Saccharomyces cerevisiae S288C: one gene and its partners. The gene in region 3 interacts genetically with the main gene of each other region. Each region holds a gene or a part of one and is shown on either strand. Other genes may lie near its edges. The genes, in order: HAP1, TAF13, SSN2 and BUR6.

The links.
Region 1: of SSN2 (region 3) and HAP1, a mutation in one rescues a mutant of the other (synthetic rescue), as found in Saccharomyces cerevisiae (one study listed by BioGRID).
Region 2: mutations in SSN2 (region 3) and TAF13 together harm fitness more than expected from each alone (negative genetic interaction), as found in Saccharomyces cerevisiae (2 studies listed by BioGRID).
Region 4: of SSN2 (region 3) and BUR6, a mutation in one rescues a mutant of the other (synthetic rescue), as found in Saccharomyces cerevisiae (one study listed by BioGRID).

Annotation. Positions count from the first base shown.
Region 1 is NC_001144.5:644,071-652,445, reverse strand, and holds HAP1 (Hap1p), read right to left. Parts: upstream 6,032-8,375; coding exon 1,523-6,031; downstream 1-1,522. Other genes in the region: YLR256W-A (gag protein), read right to left, coding at 7-1,329; YLR255C (uncharacterized protein), read left to right, coding at 6,493-6,846; NDL1 (Ndl1p), read left to right, coding at 7,473-8,042; CQD2 (Cqd2p), read right to left, coding at 8,110-8,375. UniProt on the Saccharomyces cerevisiae protein: Regulation of oxygen dependent gene expression. It modulates the expression of Iso-1 (CYP1) and Iso-2 (CYP3) cytochrome c.
Region 2 is NC_001145.3:74,258-78,270, reverse strand, and holds TAF13 (Taf13p), read right to left. Parts: upstream 1,005-4,013; coding exon 501-1,004; downstream 1-500. Other genes in the region: ARG81 (Arg81p), read left to right, coding at 1,231-3,873. UniProt on the Saccharomyces cerevisiae protein: Functions as a component of the DNA-binding general transcription factor complex TFIID. Binding of TFIID to a promoter (with or without TATA element) is the initial step in pre-initiation complex (PIC) formation.
Region 3 is NC_001136.10:1,344,644-1,352,512, reverse strand, and holds SSN2 (Ssn2p), read left to right. Parts: upstream 1-2,574; coding exon 2,575-6,837; downstream 6,838-7,869. Other genes in the region: YDR444W (putative hydrolase), read right to left, coding at 160-2,223; adenine phosphoribosyltransferase APT2, read left to right, coding at 7,451-7,869. UniProt on the Saccharomyces cerevisiae protein: Component of the SRB8-11 complex. The SRB8-11 complex is a regulatory module of the Mediator complex which is itself involved in regulation of basal and activated RNA polymerase II-dependent transcription.
Region 4 is NC_001137.3:490,515-494,618, reverse strand, and holds BUR6 (negative cofactor 2 transcription regulator complex subunit BUR6), read left to right. Parts: upstream 1-2,660; coding exon 2,661-3,089; downstream 3,090-4,104. Other genes in the region: YER158C (uncharacterized protein), read left to right, coding at 4,041-4,104. UniProt on the Saccharomyces cerevisiae protein: Component of the NC2 complex which represses RNA polymerase II transcription through binding to SPT15/TBP and thereby inhibiting the assembly of the preinitiation complex.

The DNA of each region.
Region 1 (8,375 bases), on a different chromosome or scaffold from region 3:
GTAGATTCAGTAAGTTCCTGGCCTAAGGTGAAGGTCGTGCTTATTGTTCAATTGAATCGGTTCAGTAGTTGATTTACTGATGGAATCGTTGTCCGTGCTGGGAGAGTTATTAGATGTGGATACATTGTGAGCCCTGGCTGTTTTCGATTTCGAATTATTTGTTTTTTGAGGATTCCGAGCTATAACTTTGGGTTTGGTTGTATTCGTATAGCTGCGAGAATCATTCTTCTCATCACTCAGATTTCTCCTGTAATTAGGTTTGCTGTTTCTCGATCCCTGTTGTTCTTCATAAATAGCATGGATATCTAAGAACAGTTCAGCGACTGTCATATTTAGATGTCGATGACGTGTGTAGCGTAAAAATTTATATTCGCCAGATAGACCTCTCATAATTAATTGGCATGCGACCTTGTTATTGATATGAATGCCATTATTGTTCAGTCTGTCGATAATGTTTGTGACTTTTGTTTCAAATGCATCTGCAGGTGTACTGCCATTATATTGCAAATTTGCCAGGGTCACAATGTCGTTTGCCTCTTGGGTATCAGATTGCATTTTTTCAATACTTTTGGAAAGAATTTTCATGATATCCGTATAATCAACGGATAGGATGTCTTTGACCCAGGTAGGTAGGAATTGAGAGGGAGCAAATATTTGAAAAGTGTTATACAAGAAGGTGAGTTCATCATCAGTGATCTGACGTACGGGTTTTCCGTTTACTGTCGGAATAATACCACCGAGATTCGAGTTTTGTAAAAATTTGATGTATGTTTTAACCCAATTTGGAAAGTCATTAGGTGAGGTTAACATTGGTGGTGGTCTGACATATTTTTTAGTGGATGTCATATCAGAGTCCGCTGAGGATGAATCAGTAAATGTATTACCTGACTCAGGTGATGGAGTGCTCAGAGGCGTTCCAACTGATGATGGATACTGCGGAAACTGTGATTGTGGCCCAGGTGGAAAGTACATAGGCGACATTTGATAAGGTGTATACGGAATCATAGATGGGTGTCCGTAAAATGACCAACCAGATGGATTGGCTTGGTTTTGGGTCATCATGCACTGCTGTGGGTACGGCCCATTCTGTGGAGGTGGTACTGAAGCAGGTTGAGGAGAGGCATGATGGGGGTTCTCTGGAACAGCTGATGAAGCAGGTGTTGTTGTCTGTTGAGAGTTAGCCTTAGTGGAAGCCTTCTCACATTCTTCTGTTTTGGAAGCTGAAACGTCTAACGGATCTTGATTTGTGTGGACTTCCTTAGAAGTAACCGAAGCACAGGCGCTACCATGAGAAATGTGTGGGTGTTGAGATAATTGTTGGGATTCCATTGTTGATAAAGGCTATAATATTAGGTATACAGAATATACTAGAAGTTCTCCTCGAGGATTTAGGAATCCATAAAAGGGAATCTGCAATTCTACACAATTCTATAAATATTATTATCATCGTTTTATATGTTAATATTCATTGATCCTATTACATTATCAATCCTTGCGTTTCAGCTTCCACTAATTTAGATGACTATTTCTCATCATTTGCGTCATCTTCTAACACCGTATATGATAATATACTAGTAACGTAAATACTAGTTAGTAGATGATAGTTGATTTTTATTCCAACACCATCAATTTCAACATTATCAACGGGTAGAAAATCAACCGCGTCATTTCTTCCAAGGTTATTAGGATCGTTGTATCCACCAACAACTTCTACCAGACTGGAAGGATTTATCATTAGCCCATTAAAGTTAGAATTTTGCATCAAAAAGTCTTCTAAGTCAGGTTTATACTGTGTAGCAGAATTGGATGCTAAGTCTGAGCCTTGTGGGCTTGTCAGTGTCGATAAAGCACTGCCGTTGGCACTTGTATCTGTATTCGCAGTTCCAGCTCCATTCATGTTCATATTCCCGTTTAAAGTTGAACTTGGAATTGTAGTATTAGCATTCATGAATGCACTTGTCATAGGCGTCATTTGCTTGATGGAGTTGTCAAATGCTTCATCTCTAGATGGGTCTGGCAAATTTATTTGATTAGTGGTGATCCTATCTAAAGATGGTAAAGCTCCCATTTGTGAAGTAATGTTGGTTAACGATGGAACCGTTGGAATGGTACCCCCGTTTAGCTGGTTCATGGAAAATGACGATAATAGTGGCTGCACCGATGATAGCCCATTTGAAGGTTTTGGGCTGATTCCTCTAGGTATATCGTTGTTACTATTATTATCAATATAGCCATCATTAAATCTTCTTCTCTTAGCTTCTGCCTCACCCGTTTCATTCATACGACGTAGATTACTACTTGTGTACGTGATAGGTTTGTATGATCTAATTGGTGGCAACTGGGTCCCTCCCATCCTAGCAGTAGAGCCCTGTAAGGACATGCCTTGCATCGGAGCAGAACCTTCATTAGCACCGGTTGGACTAACAAACCCCAGCGCATCTTGGTACACGGGGCATTTCTGTAATTGGTCTTTGTCACCAGCAAGAAATCCGCTCATGTTTGAAACCTTTGGATGTTTCCAATTACCCAACATGAATGAACTACCACCCGATTTCGAGTCTGATTTCTTTGAAGGTGTATCTAGTAAAGAGACAAAGAATCCAGTGGATTTGTTCATACGAATAGCGTAGTTGTACTTCTTTGATAGTTGTTTTGTTAGTTTTTGAAATAGCAGCATTCTTGACATTAGAATCTCTGCTAATGAATCGCCTGAATCCAAATTTACATCTTTCATGAAATCGTCTTTTTTCAATTCATCAGAAGATTCTTGTTTAACTTTGACGTCCTCATCTTCTACCGAACTATTAAATCCACTTGATGTACCATTAGTAATGATCGATGATTCACGCATACCAGTCAATGGGCCACATTTAGCTCTCAGGATCAAACAAACGATAAATTGTAAAGAACGATGTCCAATGTCCAAACAAGGGTAAGACAAGATAACATTCATGTAATCGAATAGTGAATTGGTGTTTCTGATATTGTTGAAGAAAATCATGCAGTTTCTGTAGCCATCCATGGCAAAATTTAATGCCTCTTGAGCGTACTCCTTAGCTAGGATATTAGTACCAGGATCTTCACTGCCCATTGGTTCATAATGAGTAAACAAAATGTAGTTCAATAAGTACAGCAACATTCTAATTGTCATATGCTTGGAAAAGAATAGAGCTCTCGTTGTAGATTCGTGAGGAAGGTCCAATTTCTTATCTATATCACTACTAGAAGTATTTCTTCCATCAGCATACAAGTTTTGGTTATGTTGACCATGGTTTAGAATATCGGGTAGTTTCGGTAGACCGTAAATTTCATCATTATTTGAATCTACAGAACCACCTTCCGAAGTTGGTAATAACCCTTTGTTGATCAAGGAGCTCACTACATCATTGACATTCTCAGTACCATAGGTCAGATTTTTCAATAAATTAATCAATGAATCCAGTTCAAATTTTCTCACGCTTCTTGCTAAAGAAACATTCAAAATGTGATTTAATACAGCAATAATACACAAATCAATTTGGAAAAAAAGAGTAAAATTCTTCACAATGATTAACTCTTTGATATCGCGAACATAATCAATCCTTGACGCACTTGGTAGCTTTGTATCGCTGAAATCCCTCAGATTTCTTAGTAGTCGAGGGCTCCCCAGGGAAAGAGATTGGTTAACATCCATGCTAACAATGTAATACCAAATTTTCCTCCAAGTGTGTTTAAATCTTTCGATACTAACCTGATTTTCCTTCTTGTTCACAGGGTTAGAACCACTTCTTGAATCAGCACTGCCAGATCTGCTACTGCTGTTGGTAGTGGCAGCAGACATGTTGTTATTCAAAGTTGGATTGGTGCTAGGGTTTGCCTTTTTGCTCCCGTTGTTAGACACGTCCTGGCTGGTTGCTGGAATGGTAGCGTTTAATTGAGGAAAATTATCAGGGTCTCTGTGTAACCCACAACTAAAGGCCATTTGAGTAATATTGGACAATAGGATCTGGTGAGACTCGGAATCGTGACCAGGATTGGCCATGCCAGTGTTGTTGGTATTTGTCAAGGTAGTCAAATCATTAGAGGCACTTTTCATATAGAAGTTGTAAAAAATGGCAAACTGCACCGTGGTTAAATTAACGTTGTTATTGGAAATACTAGAAAGTTCATCGAATTTAATCAAGTATTTTTGACATAGCTCCAGTGCCTCGACCGGTGTCTCATGCTTTAGCAGAAGTGATTCTTCTTTAGCCATCGAGGTCAATGCAGATGCAGACATATTGCTAGATTCGTTGGGCACTAAAAATGAGCCACTTTCTTCTCCCAGGTCGACTTCGCAGGAATTAGAAGGTATGGATAGCCATGTCAATCTCAAGATTATTATCAGAATACCTAAGTTACAAGAATCGGAAAGTTTTGGAAGATTGATTTGTGTTATGGGTTGGTTCTCTAGTGTAGATGAAGATGGCATGCTCATACCAAAGTTGTTAACTGTGGGATTCATCGAAGACAACGAAAGCATTTGATTCACGTGATTTTTGAAATTCTGTTCATCTAAGATTGGAATGGCAGGGTATAAATGTTTGAAGAATTTCTCGATGAATAATGCGATGACGCGCTTTGGTGGCAACATCTCACAAAGTGTTGCGAGGACTTCAGATTCTGTCATGTAGGAATCATGTTTCCTGCTTTGTGCGGGATGCGAACGAGCATGAGATCCGGACTGTGGTTGGTGGTGTGGGATGGTATTGTGCGTTGAAGCTGGTAAGGCCGCTGTATTTTTCATGCTTGAATGGTCAATGGGGCAACGACTTGCCGGGTTCGAAGAAGAATTTGCCATGTCAGAGGGATAATCCTTCATATAGTTTCTATGGTCCACAGGACATTTTGACTGAGGCGGATTCATTGTATGCTTGTTATGGTCTATCATAGCTTTAGTGGAAAATGGGGAAGGTGTCTCGTCCTTGGGCGGCATCATTCCTGCGGAATACATGGTGTGGTCAACGGGACACCTCTTCTGGGACGAAGTGTCCTCTCTGGGAGGAATCATTCCCGAAGAGAACATGGTGTGGTCAACTGGACATTTCCTAGGAAGAGGAGTCTCCTCCTTTGGGGCCACCATGCCAGACGAAAACGCGGAGTGATCAACAGGACATTTTCTGGTAGCGGCGGCAGCGGCAGAAGGCGGCGCTTGCGCGTGATTGATGGGACATTTGCTTGACTTCAGCTTAGAGTACGAATTTTTTTGGTAGTACCATTCATTTAACTTTTCCCTCATAGCGAAGATATGACCCCACAAAAGTTTTAGGTACGGGTCACCTTTCATGATAGACAACCAGTGGGTGGCACCTAAGTGGATGGTTCCGTTACTTTTGATATGCAAAAGATCAAAGTCCTTAGTTAAGTCCAGCTCATCGTTGTCATATTTATTTGAGATAGAAAGGGACGAGGAATTCGCGTTGGCGTTCGCACTTCTGGAAAAGTCTTGTTGTTGTTCCTGTTGCTGCTGTTGCTGTTGTTGCTGATGCATATGCGAGGCAGAGGAAGCAGAGCCTGTATTTGCATTAACAAGGGTGGTGTGTTCATCGCTACCCATAAACAGGTTGCTGCTCTCGGGAGTGTTGTAACTTTTCAAGGAGTTAGACGAAGGAGAAGAGTGCACCTTAGAAAGAGTCTTTTCTAAAGATTTTACGCGCTCCCTAAGCTTCTTTAATTCGTTGTCCTTCAGCAATTCTTTCTCTGCCTCTTCTGCCCAGGTCTGTTCCATGTAGTGGCAGAGATGGGCTACCCCAGTTTTAGTGCACTGCTGGCAGTGTGGTCTGAGTTTGTCACATTTGACTTTCCTTTTCCGACAAATGGTGCAACTGAGCGGAATTCTGTTACGCTTCCTCTTGATCTTGGACGAATCTGAAGACATGTGCAAGGGTGGAGAGTTAGAGCTGGTGTTGGCACCGGGCGTAGTTGCTGTATGCATGTTAGGACTTCTTGAGACCGAAGACTGGGTCATGGATGCAATGGAAGGCACAGATGAATTATAAGGGGTATTCGACATCTAACCTATTGTTCCCTTTTTTTTTTTTTCTTTTTCTTCTATTTCCTTACCTTCTTGCCTGCGACTGGAGAAAAACTAAAAGGCCAAATTGAAAGGGAAGAAAAATTTTCTGCGAAAACAAAACAAGATGCTTTGATAAAAGGAAGTTGATGGAATGAGGTTCGATGAGATGAAATCAGATACAATTTTGTGCAATATCTTCAAACCTTAAAAGAGCACTGCAGGAACCTATTCTTTGGGAGAACAATAGCGTCTGTGTGCTTGCGGTATCTTGAGTTGTGAGTCTCAAATGTGTGCTTTGCATCTCGAAGAATAATAGAAAAAACCGAAAACCGAAAAAAATTGTGCCTCAAGAGTATATCCGATATATATGAACGCGATCGAGTTACCGGGGCCGTTGCTGGTGCCGTTGCCTGGTATTCTAAACGAGGCCGCGAGGGTGGATTTCGCCCGACGGGTGAATGGGTGTGGGTGGAACGAGGATTGTATCGTTTAGACAGCCGAATTATTACCCGGTTACTCAACAAAAAGGGGCAAGCCAGACAGGTGCAGTGGCTCAGCCGTACAGCTCGTACTGTGGTTTGCTAATGCGCTGGGCGGTTGTTGAGATAAGAAGAAGAGGGAAAGGGAAAGGAAGAAAGAGGAAGAGAGAGAGAGAGAAAGGGCACACGAAATTCAGGATACGGCGGAGGAGTTATCTTTATTTTATACGGTCTTGCCTTGTAAGGCCCTACTCAAGCGGGAACAAGAAAAACAGTTGTAGCTTCCACAAGATGTTGGCTATAGAGATTGTTCTGTGCTTAAAGGCTCGCTAATCAATATTTCTTGAAGTACGATTTCTGTGTGTATAGATTCTCCACAATTGTTTTTCTTAGTGAGGCTCCGCCACGATCGCGTCTTGCCATCATCGTCCATCCATGGAAAAGAGCTACAAAAAACGACTGCTGGTGTACATACAATGCTCTGGGTTTCGTACATTTGCTTACTAAGTGACAGAAGCGTTCATCGATCCTTCGAAAAGGGTAACAGCGGAAAAACAGGAAATATTGGCTACATACTATAACTCAACAACGTATCATGAACTATTCCGCATATTCGTAACCTTATTTGTAGCGCAGTAAAGCCGCTAAAGAGGTCTTCTCCTATCGGATCTTGCTTTTTTCTTCCTTTTTTTTTTTTTTTTACAATAGAACAATAAAAAAACTGAACGTTCTCTATATCATCTGTGACGGCAAGTATCAATTATTTTATCAATTAGTTTGCAGAATCGGGAAAATTAATAACATTAGAAATGAAAGTTTTCATACATAAATTTGCAATTAAGGATGAAAAAGAGGGATAATAAGGGCTACAACAAACCACGAACGGCCGAAAGAACAATCCTCGCAAATTTAATTGGAATATCCAAGGGACATATACGTGCAACAATTGCGACTTTCCTATGGTGCCGAATTTGGATTTGGAAACAGCTATACAGATAATCTCCTCACTGGAGACCCAGTTGAGCGAGCTTGAAGGCGCCACGAAAGAATATGAAAATGATTTGGAACAAGTAATATCAAAGTTAAAAAGCGATCTTCTTGAGAGCCAACAACAAAATAAGTGCAATAAGAAACAGATAACAGATTTAGAGATACAGGTAGATGAGTTGGAAAATGAAAATATCCAACTGAGGAATAAGATAGAGACATTACAATTGGAGAGTGACCGACGACTGGAACGCAACGTTCTACTGGAACACGAGTTACTCGACACCAAAGAGGCGCTGCAAAAGTTAAGAGTCAGCAAAGAAGAAGCCACTAGCGGTGAGACTAGAAGGAACACCAGGTCGTTACCCAGTCAAAATAAAAAAATGAAGTTGTTTAAGGATACTATCAAAGTCTCGACCACATCTTCAACCTTGTACTTGCAGAACATGGCAAAAACTAACAACGCTGCAAGAAGTCACTGTAATATTCCAAATACCCAAATAACACAATCCACTGTGATAGCAACAACGTCTTCCGTTTAATGACACATATAAAATTGTTATATATAATTTTACGTATATATTTACAAGTAGAAAGAACGCTAACGATTTAAGATGACAACCAAGTCTTCGGAATAAATTTTTTCCACCACAACACAAAATCATAAAAATACAATTGATTAATACGCCTCTCATAGACTATCCAGTTTGTCAAGTTCTCCCACATCCATTTAATAGACCACCTCGCATACTCCGAATTAATTCTTTCCACTTTTTCGTCGTAGACCGTCTTGGCGCAGTATTGCGTCATGATCAGGAAAGTCCTCTCTGGCCCGAGTGGATTCTGTAGACATTCATCAAGATGTCTGGTTAGGT
Region 2 (4,013 bases), on a different chromosome or scaffold from region 3:
GTAAAAATAACTTACCGCAGGAGACATTTTTTACTGATAACGATCGCTTCTAAAACTCGTTAGTACAGGCTCGTTGTGACTTAGAATCAAATAATAGATGGGTTAGGAGGCGCACGTACCTTCCTAAGCACAGAAGGGAGCTTAAGTTGCTGTTTCAGGCGGTGACTTAACAATACATCTTAACTATCCAATGCTGACAGCTGAGTATTGCAACACAACTATCAGAGGGAGGAGTTTGCCGTTACTAATGTAGCAGGGTTTTTGAATCTAAAAGAATAAATGTACCAGTTGAATCCTAAGATTTTACTTGGAAAAATATATAAATAAGAAAACAATGCATTCAAAATTGTGCCATTGTAATGACAAGTGTTTTTGTTCAGCACCAACGCAAACTCAAAACCCCTTTTATAGAGCAAACGCCTAATTAATAAATCAAAGGGACATATGTACTACGTATATCTGAATCAAGCCTACGTAAACGGGCCTGCCAAGTAGCTATATCATTTTTTTGTTTTCTTGAGGTTTTTAGGCCCCTGCTTCCTAATCTTTGTTGCCTTCGAATCTGTTGATTGTTTAGCGCTATTACGGCCCGCTGCTTCCTCATCATCATCCGTCACCTGCTGCTCATCCTCATCCTCTTCCATCTCGTCACCCTCTTCATCCTCTTCTCTGTACCTCTTTAATGAATTTTGATTGTCTGTCTCATTGAACTGCTTCTTAGCTTCCGTAATCAACTTATTAGTAGCTATCAGTTCTTCTGCTCTCCCAAGCTTTATCGGGTCTTTACGGAGGGCAAACTTGAAATCTTCCAATCGGAGCTTATTGCGCTGAGAATTCTGGGCTGTATGGAATGCGTTAGTACAAACATCCACCAAATATCCAGATACCAATTCATCCAAACACTGCACAGTAGCTTGTAGTGGCTGCGGCACATCGCCGTAAGCGTAAAGCAAGGAACTTACATCCTTGTTAAACAGATTCGTTTTTTTCAGCTTCCTAGACATATCTTATCCAGCTCACCCTCGCCTGCCGTTACCTTTTGGATTTCATGTTGCAGTTGTTGATGAACCTTCTTTGTTATCAATGACTCTTCGCCTGCGGTTTCCGCTAGAACTCAAAAATAAATGAAAAAAAAATACACCTTGCGAAAAGCATCTCTTTTAGATTTGATGCTTTAGTGGGCAATAGTTACCGATATCAGTACCTCGAAAATTTTAAGTTGCAGATATAATGGGAATTTCCAGCAAGAATGGCCCTAAAAAAATGGGAAGGGCAAAGACGTTTACTGGGTGTTGGACGTGCAGAGGAAGAAAAGTTAAGTGTGATCTTCGGCATCCCCACTGCCAACGATGTGAAAAGTCTAATTTGCCTTGTGGCGGTTATGATATCAAACTCCGGTGGTCTAAGCCTATGCAATTTGACCCGTACGGTGTCCCAATCCCACAAAATTCTCCTGCAACTACTACGAACTTATCAGGTAGTGTCGATGAACCACAATACCAACGACGGAACATCGATTTTGTGCGCTATGATGAAGAATACGTGTATCATGAAGATATGGATGATGAGCTAACAATGCTGCATACTCCCCCAATTGAGAAAATAAGCGATAACAAGACGTGGATCATAAAGAAATTTGGGGTGTTTAAAGGAACAGATAAGATCGACAAGCAGTACGCTCCAAGGAAGAAGCGCAATAGGAAAAGAGTTGCCAAAAGCTTGGAGAGCTCAGCTTCTATTTCGTTATCTTCTTTACCATCTTCTTCAACTATTTCCTTTCCAATTAGACATATTGAAGACAAGTTGAGAAATAAAGGGCATGTAAAGACAGGTATTCTCTCTGCTAATGATGGTGTTCCACCAACACCAAATCTTTTAGATTATGACTGGAACAATCTGAATATAACAGGTTACGAATGGATCTCGAGTGAACTCAGAGATGATGCATTATTGTCAGCGGTGACCTTACAGGGACATCACTTAGGACACACACAGCCACAAGAAATCTCATTAGAGGAAAACTCTAATGTCGTGAGTGGGGAAGAGCATGTGAATGCCAAAGAACATGGATGTGCCTTTGAGGCTGATAATCAAGGTTCATCAACTTTACCTAATAAAGCAGCCAGTGCCAATGATAAACTTTACCAGCAAAACTTGAAGTTACTCTTCCAGAAAAACTCTTCGAACAGTGAGGAACCAGACCCTCAAGCATTGATCGACGATGTGTTCGTCAATATTGAACCAAGATCTCTGCCCGCATCTGATCTGAATAAAATAACTCTAGCTCCTCCAAATGAAGAATCACGCATGCCTAAGTCCATGTTAGAACTCACATCCTATTCCAGTGACCTACCACCTGAATTGGTAGATATTATACCCAAAACAGACCTTACCGTACATGGTTTAGCGAGATTTCTTTTAAATCATTATTTTAATAATGTTGCAGATAAAATGACAGTGGTCGTGCTCGAAAAGAACCCATGGAAAACATTATACTTCCCCAGAGCCTTGATGGCATTAGGCGATTTAGCGGGTTTGGGACAATCCTCCAACTCGAGGAATGCGTTGTTGAATGCTCTTCTTGCTGTCTCTTGCTTCCACTTGCAAAGCAAGTACCCAAGGAACTACAAACTACAAAAATACTTTCTGGGCCTAGGTATCGAATTGAGAAATCAAGCCTCGAACTTTCTAAGATTATGTTTGAACACAAAATCAAGCATACCTGAGAAATATAAAGACGTACTAACTGCGATCTTATCTATGAACTCTATTGATGTTGTATGGGGGACGATGGCAGATTGCCAGGATCACTTGGCTCTTTGTGAAGACTTCGTTGAGTCAAGAATGAAACTAAGACCTAATATTTCTGAAAAGACAAAAACCTTACACAGGATTTTCTCGTTTCTGAAGTTAATTCAAGATAGCACTGCGTTGGATAAAGTCAGGGCAAAGGAAATTGTTATTTTACCAAGTGAAGAAGATGATAATTACAAACCATTAGATACATCTAACGCTACTACCAGTAGCAGTGAGCCAAGAGTTGACGTTGTGCAGGAAGGTTTATTTAGAGAGGCACTCAATGAAAATGACGGCAAAATACATATTGAATTCGTTAAGGAGCCTATCACAAACGTATCCGCTGACTCTACTCCATCTTCGACCACTCCTCCAATTTTTACCAACATAGCAACAGAAAGTTACTATAATAAATCTGATATATCTAAGCTAGTATCGAAGACTGATGAAAACATAATTGGTACAGATTCACTCTATGGATTGCCTAATTCATTAATATTACTATTTTCAGACTGTGTTAGGATAGTGAGACATAATGAATATTATAATTTAACTTACCTACCTGTACCCCGAAAATTTAATGAACTCTCGTTAAATTTCGAAAAAAGATTATTGAAATGGAAATCAGAATGGAACTTCCATCAAGAAAATTCGGAGGGAAAAAGCTTCATAAACTCAACGGCTGAAGCACTATATCACCATACAATGAGCTTTTATTTCAGTTTAATTATTTATTATTTTACAATGGCAAGAAGTTTAAATTGCCAATTTCTACAAAACTATGTTGCCAAAGTATTAGATCACTTAAATGCAATGGAAGAATTGGTGGATCAAAAAAAAGTGAAAATTGTCCCTTTAATTTGGCAAGGTTTCATGGCAGGATGTGCTTGCACAGATGAAAACAGACAGCAAGAGTTTAGAAGATGGGCAGCCAAATTAGCTGAAAGTGGAGTGGGCTCCTATTGGGGAGCCAGGCAAGTAATGTTGGAAGTTTGGAGGCGACGGAAAGAGGATGAGCCGGGCGATAATTGGTATTCTGTTTATAAAGATTGGGAAATGAATCTGATGCTATCATAAATATGTTATTTTTGGATTTTTCATGAATAGCCGGAGCCAGTAGCTGGAAGAGCTGTGTCTTGAAATAATTCTTTACAATACATATGCACATACCATAAAGTACAAATATATAAACGCCTTTAATTAGAATATTGGGCTTG
Region 3 (7,869 bases):
TATGACTCTTAATCATAAGGTTAGGGGTTCGAGCCCCCTACAGGGCTATCTTTTTTTTAAACAACATCCACACTTTATTGTGGTCATTGTGATATTCTTAAGAAACTTTTATTTCATCTATGATATTTTTTTTTACGTATACATTATAAATCATCAAACTCATGTGGCATTCTCCGCGCCCTTTGATATTTCCCCCTCGTTATACTCATTCGACCGGTCCGCTTGCGATGACTGGTTTGGCTCATCTTTTGGCTCATTTGCATCTTCAGCCAGCTCGCTACAAACCTTGGATCCGAAATGGTGCTCAACCATGTGTTCCACAGCAACATAGCCGTATAAATTAACAAATCTTCTTCTTACTACGATATTGTTATGGGAATCAGGCTGGATCTGCACTAATACTTTTCTCCAAGTCATCGTTTCTTGCCATTCTCTAGCAATGCGCTCTTGAATCCTGTTGACACTCTCATTAGGATATATAAGCTTCTTAACGATAGGCCTATTCTCATAATGCGGCGGAGGTAATTCTTCCGGGTGATAAAGTTTATCATGAATGACTTCATCTTTCCTTACAGCCGGGTTTTTGATATACTCCTGATCTGGTATGGCAGCTGTCAATACCGATAATGCAGACAATACAGTATTGGCTTCTTTTGGAGGTTCGAACTTTTGACCATCAAGAAATACTCCTTGTTCATTATCCGAATCTGAGTTGGCTTCATTAGTTTGTCCTCTCTTATATTTATTTATTTTACTTCCGTGGATAACGGCCTGAGGTAAAGTCCACTGCAACGTCGCTTTTTTGTTTGGACTTTCTGCAGGAATCTCCCCGACGTTGTTACCATTTTCGTTTGAAGGTGATGATGCTCCACTACTCTCTGGGCTATCGGAGGACACAAACTCGCTTGAAGTTGGAGAGTTCTTATTTTTTTTCCTAATTTTCTGGACTTTGTGTATGCTTCGCCAATCCAGATACAAAAGTGCAGCAGTTCGTAATGGAACAATACCATCATCCATGACATTGGCATATATCGTTCTCCTCTTAAAAGACTCAAATACTTTTTTAGCCGGCGCCTGTGGAAGAATTTCTAATATGTACTTGGAATGTTCTGGGTACACTTCATCGTCTGCATACAACCCATCTTTGGACGTTAACGGTGTATATTTTAAATTCAAGTCCCTTCCTGTCAAACCAAGCGCGCCCATATCCAGTGGAACAGACAAATAAAAGGGGAAGTCGCCAATAACACCGATGAAAGGACTAGCTAACGTAATAAAATTAACGGGTTTAACACCTTTAACTGCATCAAAAAAATCTGGTCTTTTAATACTTATGTAACGCACCGCCATGGATTGAGTTGGCCCTCCTAGGGAATGGCCAATGAATGATATCCTGTCTACTTTGTACTTTTTATTCAACTTATCAACAGTCTCAAGCACATACTTTCCAACTCTAACGCCCAAGCAATGTATACCGTGACCTGATTTCCCGACGTTGCCCATAAAACCTCGAACAATTATATTCGGATTAATAGACTCATCCATAGGAAACGTCATTTCTTCAATTTTATCTTTCATATATAGCATATCACACCCGATATTAGAAAATATACCATGTGTCATAATAACGAGATGTACAGGCTTTTCTGGAAATTTTGGTGGTAAATCCCAAAGGGTTTCAGTATCCCACATCTCTAAAGAGACACCTTCAATACTCTTAAAGAGCCCATTCGATTTCTTGACCACCTTCCTTGTAGTCCCTATCCTAAACGAAAATTCCAGCTTCGGAATTGTGGTTACCGCCAACTGCGAAATTATATCTATTGTCCATGAATAAAGAGAAGTGTCGCCAACTCTAGAATTCTCATTCAATAATATTTTTACTTTAAATCTTTCGTCCGGCTTTAGATTTTCAACAAATGGAATAATTTCCTTCCCTGGAAACTTGCGATTCTCATTATAGTTATGCGGCCTAACATCGATGTAAAAAGAATATGGCCCCGTCAAATAAAGCGGTCGCAGAAGCGCGCTTTCCTCGTTCTTGATCCTCAAGAATAGATGCGATACATCTAGCCCTTGTTCCTTAATTACATCTTTGTTCACGGAAAACTTGTAGCGATATAACTCACCTATTCTTAATCTCTTCCGCTCATCAACCAATAAGGTACCTCCGGTTTCATTTATCTCGAGCGAATTTTTCATTCGGTTGATTTTGTAAGGCATTAAGGGATCGAACCAAAATGGAGCAATTCTTTTATAATAAGAAGATGAATAACAGCCGAGTAAGTGATTCTCCTCCGCATTTCCTGCTGTTCATTGTTTTATCATACTGAATAAACAATCCTTAGAAAATAGCATCGATATATTCGCGCTTAACAAAGCGAAGAATTGAAACATTTTTTCAGGTGGAGGGACCGGGTAGTGCCGGATCAAGTAGTGTAGTATTTATTGTAGTACACTCTTACAACAACCCTTTAAGACGAATGGTGTGAAATCGGAAATTACTTTGTTGAAGTAAGGTGTAACTATATTTTAAGAACGTTTAAGCTGGATATCAAGATCTGAGGAGGTAGTATGAGTTCTGACGCTTCCACGTACAGACTTGAGGATGTTTTATCCAGCTTCTATAGAGTGGAGAAAATCAAAAAGATCAACTATCATCAGTACATTTCTAAAGCCCAAAACGATCAATGGTCTATCCAAATGGAATTCATGCTACGGAAGCAGGATCCAAAGACTCTAGTTGCGCTGCTTTCAAGGGATTTATGGTGTTTCAGTATAAATGATGATCCGGTACCGACACCTCCTGCGATAGAACATAAACCAGTGAGCCCAGATAAAATCGGAACTTTCACTGCCGATTATTCAAAGCCAAACTTACCGCCACACTATGCTCTTTTTTTAAAAGCTTTAAGAAGGAAAATTTACATTAATTTGGCATTAGGTTCACACAATAAGCTAATACAATTTGGGAATGCCTGCATATCATTAAGCGGAGTGCCAAATTATCTCGTACAGCTAGAACCACACCTTTTTGTAAACGGAGATCTCACAGTGTCGTTATGTGCCAAGAACATGGGATTAGTACCAATGAAGGAGGAAAATTTGGAAGAATCTTTCCTTTCAAAGCATGCGCTTTATTTAGCACCATCTGGAATAAGGATGCATTTGGCCCCTGCTTCCAAGCAAGGATACTTGATAACGCCACCAAAACATACAGAACTTCTCTTGACGACGTTAAGTGTATCTCATGGTATAAACTTACAAAATAAAAAAAATTTGAAATGGGTTGCTGTTGTTCCTGACTTAGGACATCTCAACGGCCACACACCTACTATAGCTTCGTATTTAACTCCCTTACTTGAAGCAAAGAAGCTAGTATGGCCGCTGCATTTAATCTTCGCCCAACCAGTAGCTGATATAGAAAATTCTACTTCCGGAGATCCATCAGAATTTCACTGTTTGCAAGATGCTCTGGATGCCATTGATGATTTCATACAATTAAAGCAAACAGCTGCCTATAGGACTCCAGGAAGTTCCGGCGTATTGAGCAGTAATATTGCTGGTACAAATCCCTTAAGCTCAGATGGAGCATATACAGAACAGTTTCAACATTATAAGAACAACTCAATTAGTTCTCAACCCGCTTCTTATCATTCTGTCCAAGAAACTAATAAGATATCTCCGAAAGATTTCTCCCCTAATTTCACAGGCATTGATAAATTAATGCTGTCGCCCAGCGATCAATTTGCTCCAGCTTTCTTAAATACCCCTAATAATAACATCAATGAGAATGAATTATTTAATGATAGGAAACAAACTACAGTATCAAATGACTTAGAGAACAGCCCACTGAAAACGGAACTGGAGGCAAATGGTAGATCACTCGAAAAGGTAAATAATTCCGTGAGCAAGACAGGAAGCGTAGACACACTTCATAATAAAGAGGGAACACTGGAACAACGAGAACAGAACGAAAATCTGCCAAGTGATAAAAGTGACTCTATGGTAGACAAGGAATTGTTTGGTGAGGATGAGGATGAGGATTTATTTGGCGATAGCAATAAATCGAATTCTACAAACGAATCGAACAAAAGTATATCGGACGAAATTACCGAGGATATGTTCGAAATGTCTGATGAAGAAGAAAATAATAACAATAAAAGCATTAATAAAAATAACAAGGAAATGCATACTGATCTTGGTAAAGATATTCCATTTTTTCCCTCATCTGAAAAACCGAATATCCGTACGATGAGCGGAACTACAAAAAGATTAAATGGAAAGAGGAAATATTTGGATATTCCGATAGATGAAATGACCTTGCCAACGAGTCCATTATATATGGACCCAGGTGCGCCACTCCCTGTGGAAACACCCCGCGATAGACGCAAAAGTGTGTTCGCTCCACTGAATTTTAACCCCATAATAGAAAACAATGTTGATAACAAATACAAATCTGGAGGGAAATTTTCCTTCAGTCCGTTGCAAAAGGAGGAAGCATTAAACTTTGATATTTCTATGGCGGATCTTTCTAGCTCTGAAGAGGAAGAGGATGAAGAAGAGAACGGTAGCAGCGATGAGGATCTAAAGTCATTGAACGTACGCGACGACATGAAACCTTCTGATAACATCAGTACTAATACTAATATTCATGAGCCTCAATACATAAATTACTCTTCGATCCCAAGTCTACAAGACTCTATTATAAAGCAAGAAAATTTCAATTCAGTAAACGATGCTAATATCACTAGCAATAAGGAAGGCTTCAACTCTATTTGGAAAATTCCTCAAAATGATATACCACAGACCGAGTCACCACTGAAGACCGTTGATTCATCTATTCAACCCATAGAATCCAATATAAAGATGACCTTGGAAGATAATAATGTTACCAGTAATCCGTCCGAATTTACGCCGAATATGGTAAATTCTGAAATTTCTAACCTACCAAAAGACAAGAGTGGTATCCCCGAATTCACACCGGCGGACCCCAATTTATCTTTTGAATCATCAAGTAGTCTACCGTTTCTATTGAGACACATGCCGCTAGCATCTATACCGGACATTTTCATCACGCCTACTCCCGTTGTTACAATTTCAGAAAAAGAACAAGACATCTTAGATTTAATTGCAGAACAAGTCGTCACTGATTATAATATCTTAGGAAACCTCGGTATTCCAAAGATCGCCTATAGGGGAGTTAAAGATTGCCAAGAAGGTTTAATAACAACCACAATGTTACAGTTATTTTCCACTTTCGATAGATTAAATGGCAATGATACGATCTCCAAATTCTATAACATGAAGCAGCCGTACGTTTTTGTAAAGAAACATCACGAACTAATCAAAGTCAAACACGACTCTCAGCCATTTATTAAGTTCCTCAATTTTCGCCCTCCAAATGGAATAAAAAACTTCAAATCCTTATTATTAAGTTCATCTTTCAAAGAAGATTGTCTGTCATTTGCGCCAACTCTATCTCAAACATATATTAATCAAGAGTTAGGGTTTTGTGAGTTGCTTAAACTAACTAATGAAGACCCGCCCGGACTGATGTACTTGAAGGCATTTGATAAAAACAAGTTACTGTTGTTAGCTGCGCAGATTGTTTCATACTGTTCTAATAATAAGAACTCCATCAAAAACGTGCCACCAATATTAATAATTTTACCCTTGGATAATGCAACTCTGACTGAATTAGTAGACAAGGCGAATATTTTTCAGGTGATCAAGAACGAAGTTTGTGCCAAGATGCCTAACATTGAACTATATTTGAAAGTTATTCCTATGGATTTCATTAGAAACGTACTGGTGACAGTGGATCAGTACGTCAACGTAGCAATTTCTATATATAACATGCTGCCGCCAAAATCTGTAAAGTTCACCCACATTGCGCATACGCTGCCGGAGAAAGTGAATTTCAGAACCATGCAGCAACAGCAAATGCAACAGCAACAGCAACAGCAACAGCAGCAGCAGAATAACAGTACAGGATCATCTTCTATAATATATTATGACTCGTACATCCACCTGGCATACTCGCGTAGTGTAGATAAAGAGTGGGTTTTTGCAGCTCTTTCAGATAGCTATGGACAAGGCAGCATGACGAAAACGTGGTACGTCGGGAATTCCAGAGGAAAATTTGACGACGCATGTAATCAAATATGGAATATCGCCCTAAATTTAGCGTCTAAAAAATTCGGAAAAATATGTCTAATTTTAACTAGATTGAATGGCATACTGCCGGATGATGAATTGATGAATTGGAGGAGACTTTCTGGTAGGAATATACATCTTGCTGTGGTGTGTGTGGATGACAACTCTAAAATCTCCTTCATAGATGAGGACAAATTGTACCCTAGTTTCAAGCCGATCTACAAAGACACTAGGTTTGGAGGACGCATGGATATGACCAGATTATACGACTATGAAATAAGGGATATAGACCAGGACATCCATGGAATAGTATTTCAGCACCCGTTCCCACTGGCACACTCACAGCATCGCTGTGCTATTAGGAGTGGTGCTTTGATCAAATTCAAAAAATGCGACGGTGATACGGTTTGGGACAAATTCGCAGTCAACCTTTTAAACTGTCCACATTCTGATAGTACACAATTGCTGGAAACCATCTTAGAAGAGTTTCGCAACCTGGCTGCTCTAAACGTGTGGTACGGTCTCTCTGATGGCGAAGATGGCCATATTCCATGGCATATCCTAGCCGTGAAAAAAATGATGAACACTCTTGTGCACACCAGAGTAAAAATTGCTAATACTTCCGCCGCTACTGTGCATACCGCTACTTCTTCATCAATTATTCTCTCGGATAAATAAACTTTTTCCGGCAACGTTTTCCTGCTCATCTGTAGCCCTATTTACCAGTTTTGGTTTTAGTATTATTCCGGGGTGTAAACCCAGAAGTCTATTTCTCCAGTCGGATTTATAAAAACAAAACCGGAAGCGGGGCGGTACGGCATTTTCACTGGTGATGCACGCCCAGCGTGTAGTCCGAGACAATTTCCACAGAACGCGAATGAGATTGCGTTTAAGGCTGTATTTTCAAGGCACACGAAGCGGCCACGTGGGTCTGCGATGGTGTGTTGATGATGTCAAGAATGGTATCATACTCCGTATAAGGTTATGTAATCGGAAGTCGCGATTCTTTTTCAATTTTTTCTTTTTATTTTTTTCCAGTTTTTTCGTCTCTGCGATGGAAAATTGTTGAAGTTCTCTTGATTAGCAAGTAGTTCTTACATCGCAGGAATCTTATGTTGCATAGCTCAATTTACAAAAATAACAAGGATAAATATATATATATACGCATATACTTTTTGGGTGTTAAAGTAAATTTTGCACCCGTTCATACCAATCGTTCAGATAATTTTCGCTCCTTAAAAAAAGAGAGTGCGTGTGTATATGCCTGTTCATTGCCTGTCCGCCTCTCATTATGTCTATTTCTGAATCTTACGCAAAGGAAATAAAAACTGCATTTAGGCAGTTCACTGACTTTCCCATAGAGGGTGAGCAATTTGAGGATTTTTTACCTATTATTGGCAACCCCACGCTATTCCAAAAGTTGGTACACACGTTCAAGACGCATTTAGAAGAAAAGTTCGGCAAAGAAAAGATCGACTTTATTGCAGGTATAGAAGCTAGAGGCCTTCTATTTGGGCCATCCCTAGCACTGGCATTGGGAGTTGGATTTGTTCCAATAAGGAGAGTTGGAAAATTGCCGGGTGAGTGTGCTTCTATAACATTCACAAAATTAGACCATGAAGAAATTTTTGAAATGCAGGTTGAAGCCATTCCCTTTGATTCCAACGTGGTTGTCGTGGATGATGTTCTCGCCACCGGTGGAACGGCATA
Region 4 (4,104 bases), on a different chromosome or scaffold from region 3:
CTAATGCCTATACTACTATCAACAGTAAGAAAAGATCATTAGAAGATAATGAAACTGAAATTAAGGTATCACGAGACACATGGAATACTAAGAATATGCGTAGTTTAGAACCTCCGAGATCGAAGAAACGAATTCACCTGATTGCAGCTGTAAAAGCAGTAAAATCAATCAAACCAATACGAACAACCTTACGATACGATGAGGCAATCACCTATAATAAAGATATTAAAGAAAAAGAAAAATATATCCAGGCATACCACAAAGAAGTCAATCAACTGTTGAAGATGAAAACTTGGGACACTGACAGATATTATGACAGAAAAGAAATAGACCCCAAAAGAGTAATAAATTCAATGTTTATCTTTAACAGGAAACGTGACGGTACTCATAAAGCTAGATTTGTTGCAAGAGGTGATATTCAACATCCTGACACTTACGACCCAGGCATGCAATCCAATACCGTACATCACTATGCATTAATGACATCCCTGTCACTTGCATTAGACAATAACTACTATATTACACAATTAGACATATCTTCGGCATATTTGTATGCAGACATCAAAGAAGAACTATACATAAGACCTCCACCACATTTAGGAATGAATGATAAGTTAATACGTTTGAAGAAATCACTTTATGGATTGAAACAAAGTGGAGCGAACTGGTACGAAACTATCAAATCATACCTGATAAAACAGTGTGGTATGGAAGAAGTTCGTGGATGGTCATGCGTATTTAAGAATAGTCAAGTAACAATTTGCTTATTCGTTGATGATATGATATTGTTCAGCAAAGACTTAAATGCAAATAAGAAAATCATAACAACACTCAAGAAACAATACGATACAAAGATAATAAATCTGGGTGAAAGTGATAACGAAATTCAGTACGACATACTTGGCTTAGAAATCAAATATCAAAGAGGTAAATACATGAAATTAGGTATGGAAAACTCATTAACTGAAAAAATACCCAAACTAAACGTACCTTTGAACCCAAAAGGAAGGAAACTTAGCGCTCCAGGTCAACCAGGTCTATATATAGACCAGCAAGAACTAGAGCTAGAAGAAGATGATTACAAAATGAAGGTACATGAAATGCAAAAGCTGATAGGTCTAGCATCATATGTTGGATATAAATTTAGATTTGACCTATTATACTACATCAACACACTTGCACAACATATACTATTTCCGTCCAAGCAAGTGTTAGATATGACATATGAATTGATACAGTTCATATGGAATACGAGAGATAAGCAATTAATATGGCACAAAAGCAAACCTGTTAAGCCAACAAATAAATTAGTTGTTATAAGCGATGCATCGTATGGTAACCAACCGTATTATAAATCACAAATTGGCAACATATATTTACTTAATGGAAAAGTAATTGGAGGAAAGTCCACCAAGGCTTCATTAACATGTACTTCAACTACGGAAGCAGAAATACACGCGATAAGTGAATCTGTCCCATTATTAAATAACCTCAGTCACCTTGTGCAAGAACTTAACAAGAAACCAATTACTAAAGGATTACTAACCGACAGTAAATCTACAATCAGTATAATTATATCCAATAATGAAGAGAAATTTAGAAACAGATTTTTTGGTACTAAAGCAATGAGACTAAGAGATGAAGTATCAGGAAATCATCTGCACGTATGCTATATCGAAACCAAAAAGAATATTGCAGACGTAATGACCAAACCTCTTCCGATAAAAACATTCAAACTATTAACAAACAAATGGATTCATTAGATCTATTACATTATGGGTGGTATGTTGGAATAAAAATCCACTATCGTCTATCAACTAATAGTTATATTATCAATATATTATCATATACGGTGTTAAGATGATGACATAAGTTATGAGAAGCTGTCATCGATGTTAGAGGAAGCTGAAACGCAAGGATTGAAAAACGAACAACATGAGACAAAACCCGTCCTTCCCTAGCTGAACTACCCAAAAGTATAAATGCCTGAACAATTAGTTTAGATCCGAGATTCCGCGCTTCCACCACTTAGTATGATTCATATTTTATATAATATATAAGATAAGTAACATTCCGTGAATTAATCTGATAAACTGTTTTGACAACTGGTTACTTCCCTAAGACTGTTTATATTAGGATTGTCAAGACACTCCGGTATTACTCGAGCCCGTAATACAACACACTGAACATCCTATTCCTCGTGGCCCAATGGTCACGGCGTCTGGCTACGAACCAGAAGATTCCAGGTTCAAGTCCTGGCGGGGAAGGATTATTTTTCTTTTAATCAACTTTTTCGGATATCGTAACCCGGCATCTGTGTTACGTTGTGTGTTTATATTTTTTTAACTGTTCGTGAATTATGACATTCTATAAAAAAGAATCTTTTTGTATTTAAGGAGAAGAATTTTCCAGGCCAAAATTAATTTTTTTTTTTTTTGTCAGGTAGCGTGATATTTCCTATTACCCTTAAAACACATGAATTTGCGAAAGAAAGGGCAATGCACTGAGAAATAAAAAGGCAGGCAAAGAAAAACGTATACAAAAGGGGATTATTTTATTTTGGGGCATTAAAACCAAAAACGGAAAAAAAAGCACGTCACGAAAATAAAAATTCAAAAAAAAAAATAAAACCAGTTACAGTACTCATCACTACATTCTTAATGGCAGATCAAGTACCAGTTACAACACAACTACCACCAATAAAACCTGAACATGAGGTACCACTTGATGCTGGAGGGAGTCCAGTAGGTAACATGGGTACCAACTCGAATAACAACAACGAGCTAGGTGATGTATTCGACAGAATAAAGACACACTTCCCTCCGGCCAAGGTAAAGAAAATAATGCAGACAGACGAGGATATAGGAAAAGTTTCACAAGCCACGCCCGTAATAGCGGGCAGGTCCCTAGAGTTTTTTATAGCGTTATTGGTGAAAAAAAGCGGGGAGATGGCAAGAGGACAAGGAACCAAGAGAATAACCGCCGAAATACTAAAAAAAACAATTTTAAACGACGAAAAATTCGATTTCTTAAGGGAAGGTCTATGCGTAGAAGAAGGCCAAACACAACCGGAGGAAGAGAGTGCCTGAGCAGAACGGGGCGATGTAACTTAGTGTAAAATGAATACCACATCTATATATATCCATATACCAATGTATTTATATCTATATATGTCTGCACATATATATTATACTCTATTATCAAGGACGAAACGTAATCACATATGTATCAACGACAACCGGCGCCTCATGTAATCTGTACCTTTCTCTACAGTTACATAGCATGAGTATGTGTATTCCTATTTAGGAAAAAATTAACGCTATTCTTAAGGTTTACGAAAGAGCATGCATCACCCCATACGATCCCCGGAGTAACTCCCGCAGGTGGGTGTGCGGGCGCTCAGCCTGCTATACGATTTAGAAACGAGGCGCTGCGTTACCGTCTGTGACTTCTTAAATAAGATTTTTAGGTGTCCCATCCTTCCAACTGTGCCTACACCAGAAAGACAAAAAGAAAGGAGGAAAAAGAAAAGCTAATTTTTTCTTTCAAGTGCCAAAGGAAGCGGACGAAGGGCTAGCTCGAGGATTCTTGCAGCAACGGAGGAAGGAGTGTGAAAAATCGTTAAGGTTCTCGCGGTTTGCACCGCGTTGCGTTCGAGACACCAAAGAAATGTATACTTGCAGATTGTGCTGATATGCTAGTTTAAGCCCAAGCGGTCTGGTTGTTGGCTTCTTGCTTCTGATAATTACTTAATATTAATACCTCAAAATTACGCACTTGGAAATATAATACAGGCGTACTCCTTTTGTATTTGTCTTTCATCTGCACTTGACTTCAGCTTTCTTTACTACTGCTCTATATACAGTAATCTGTTTACACTCATCATCAAATAACTGAAGGAGAGCTACGGCAAAATACTTGTTTATTGTCATATTATTGCTATTGTTGTTTTTTCCGTGCTGACACAATAGGATTCATTTTACCAGGCTAAACACATAGCCACCACCGCTCGCTACTACTTCCACTCACTCTTAATCAGCATGTTACAGCAGGGTTCTTCCTCGAGGAGGAGTTTGCATGGTAATGATTTTCACACGCTCACTT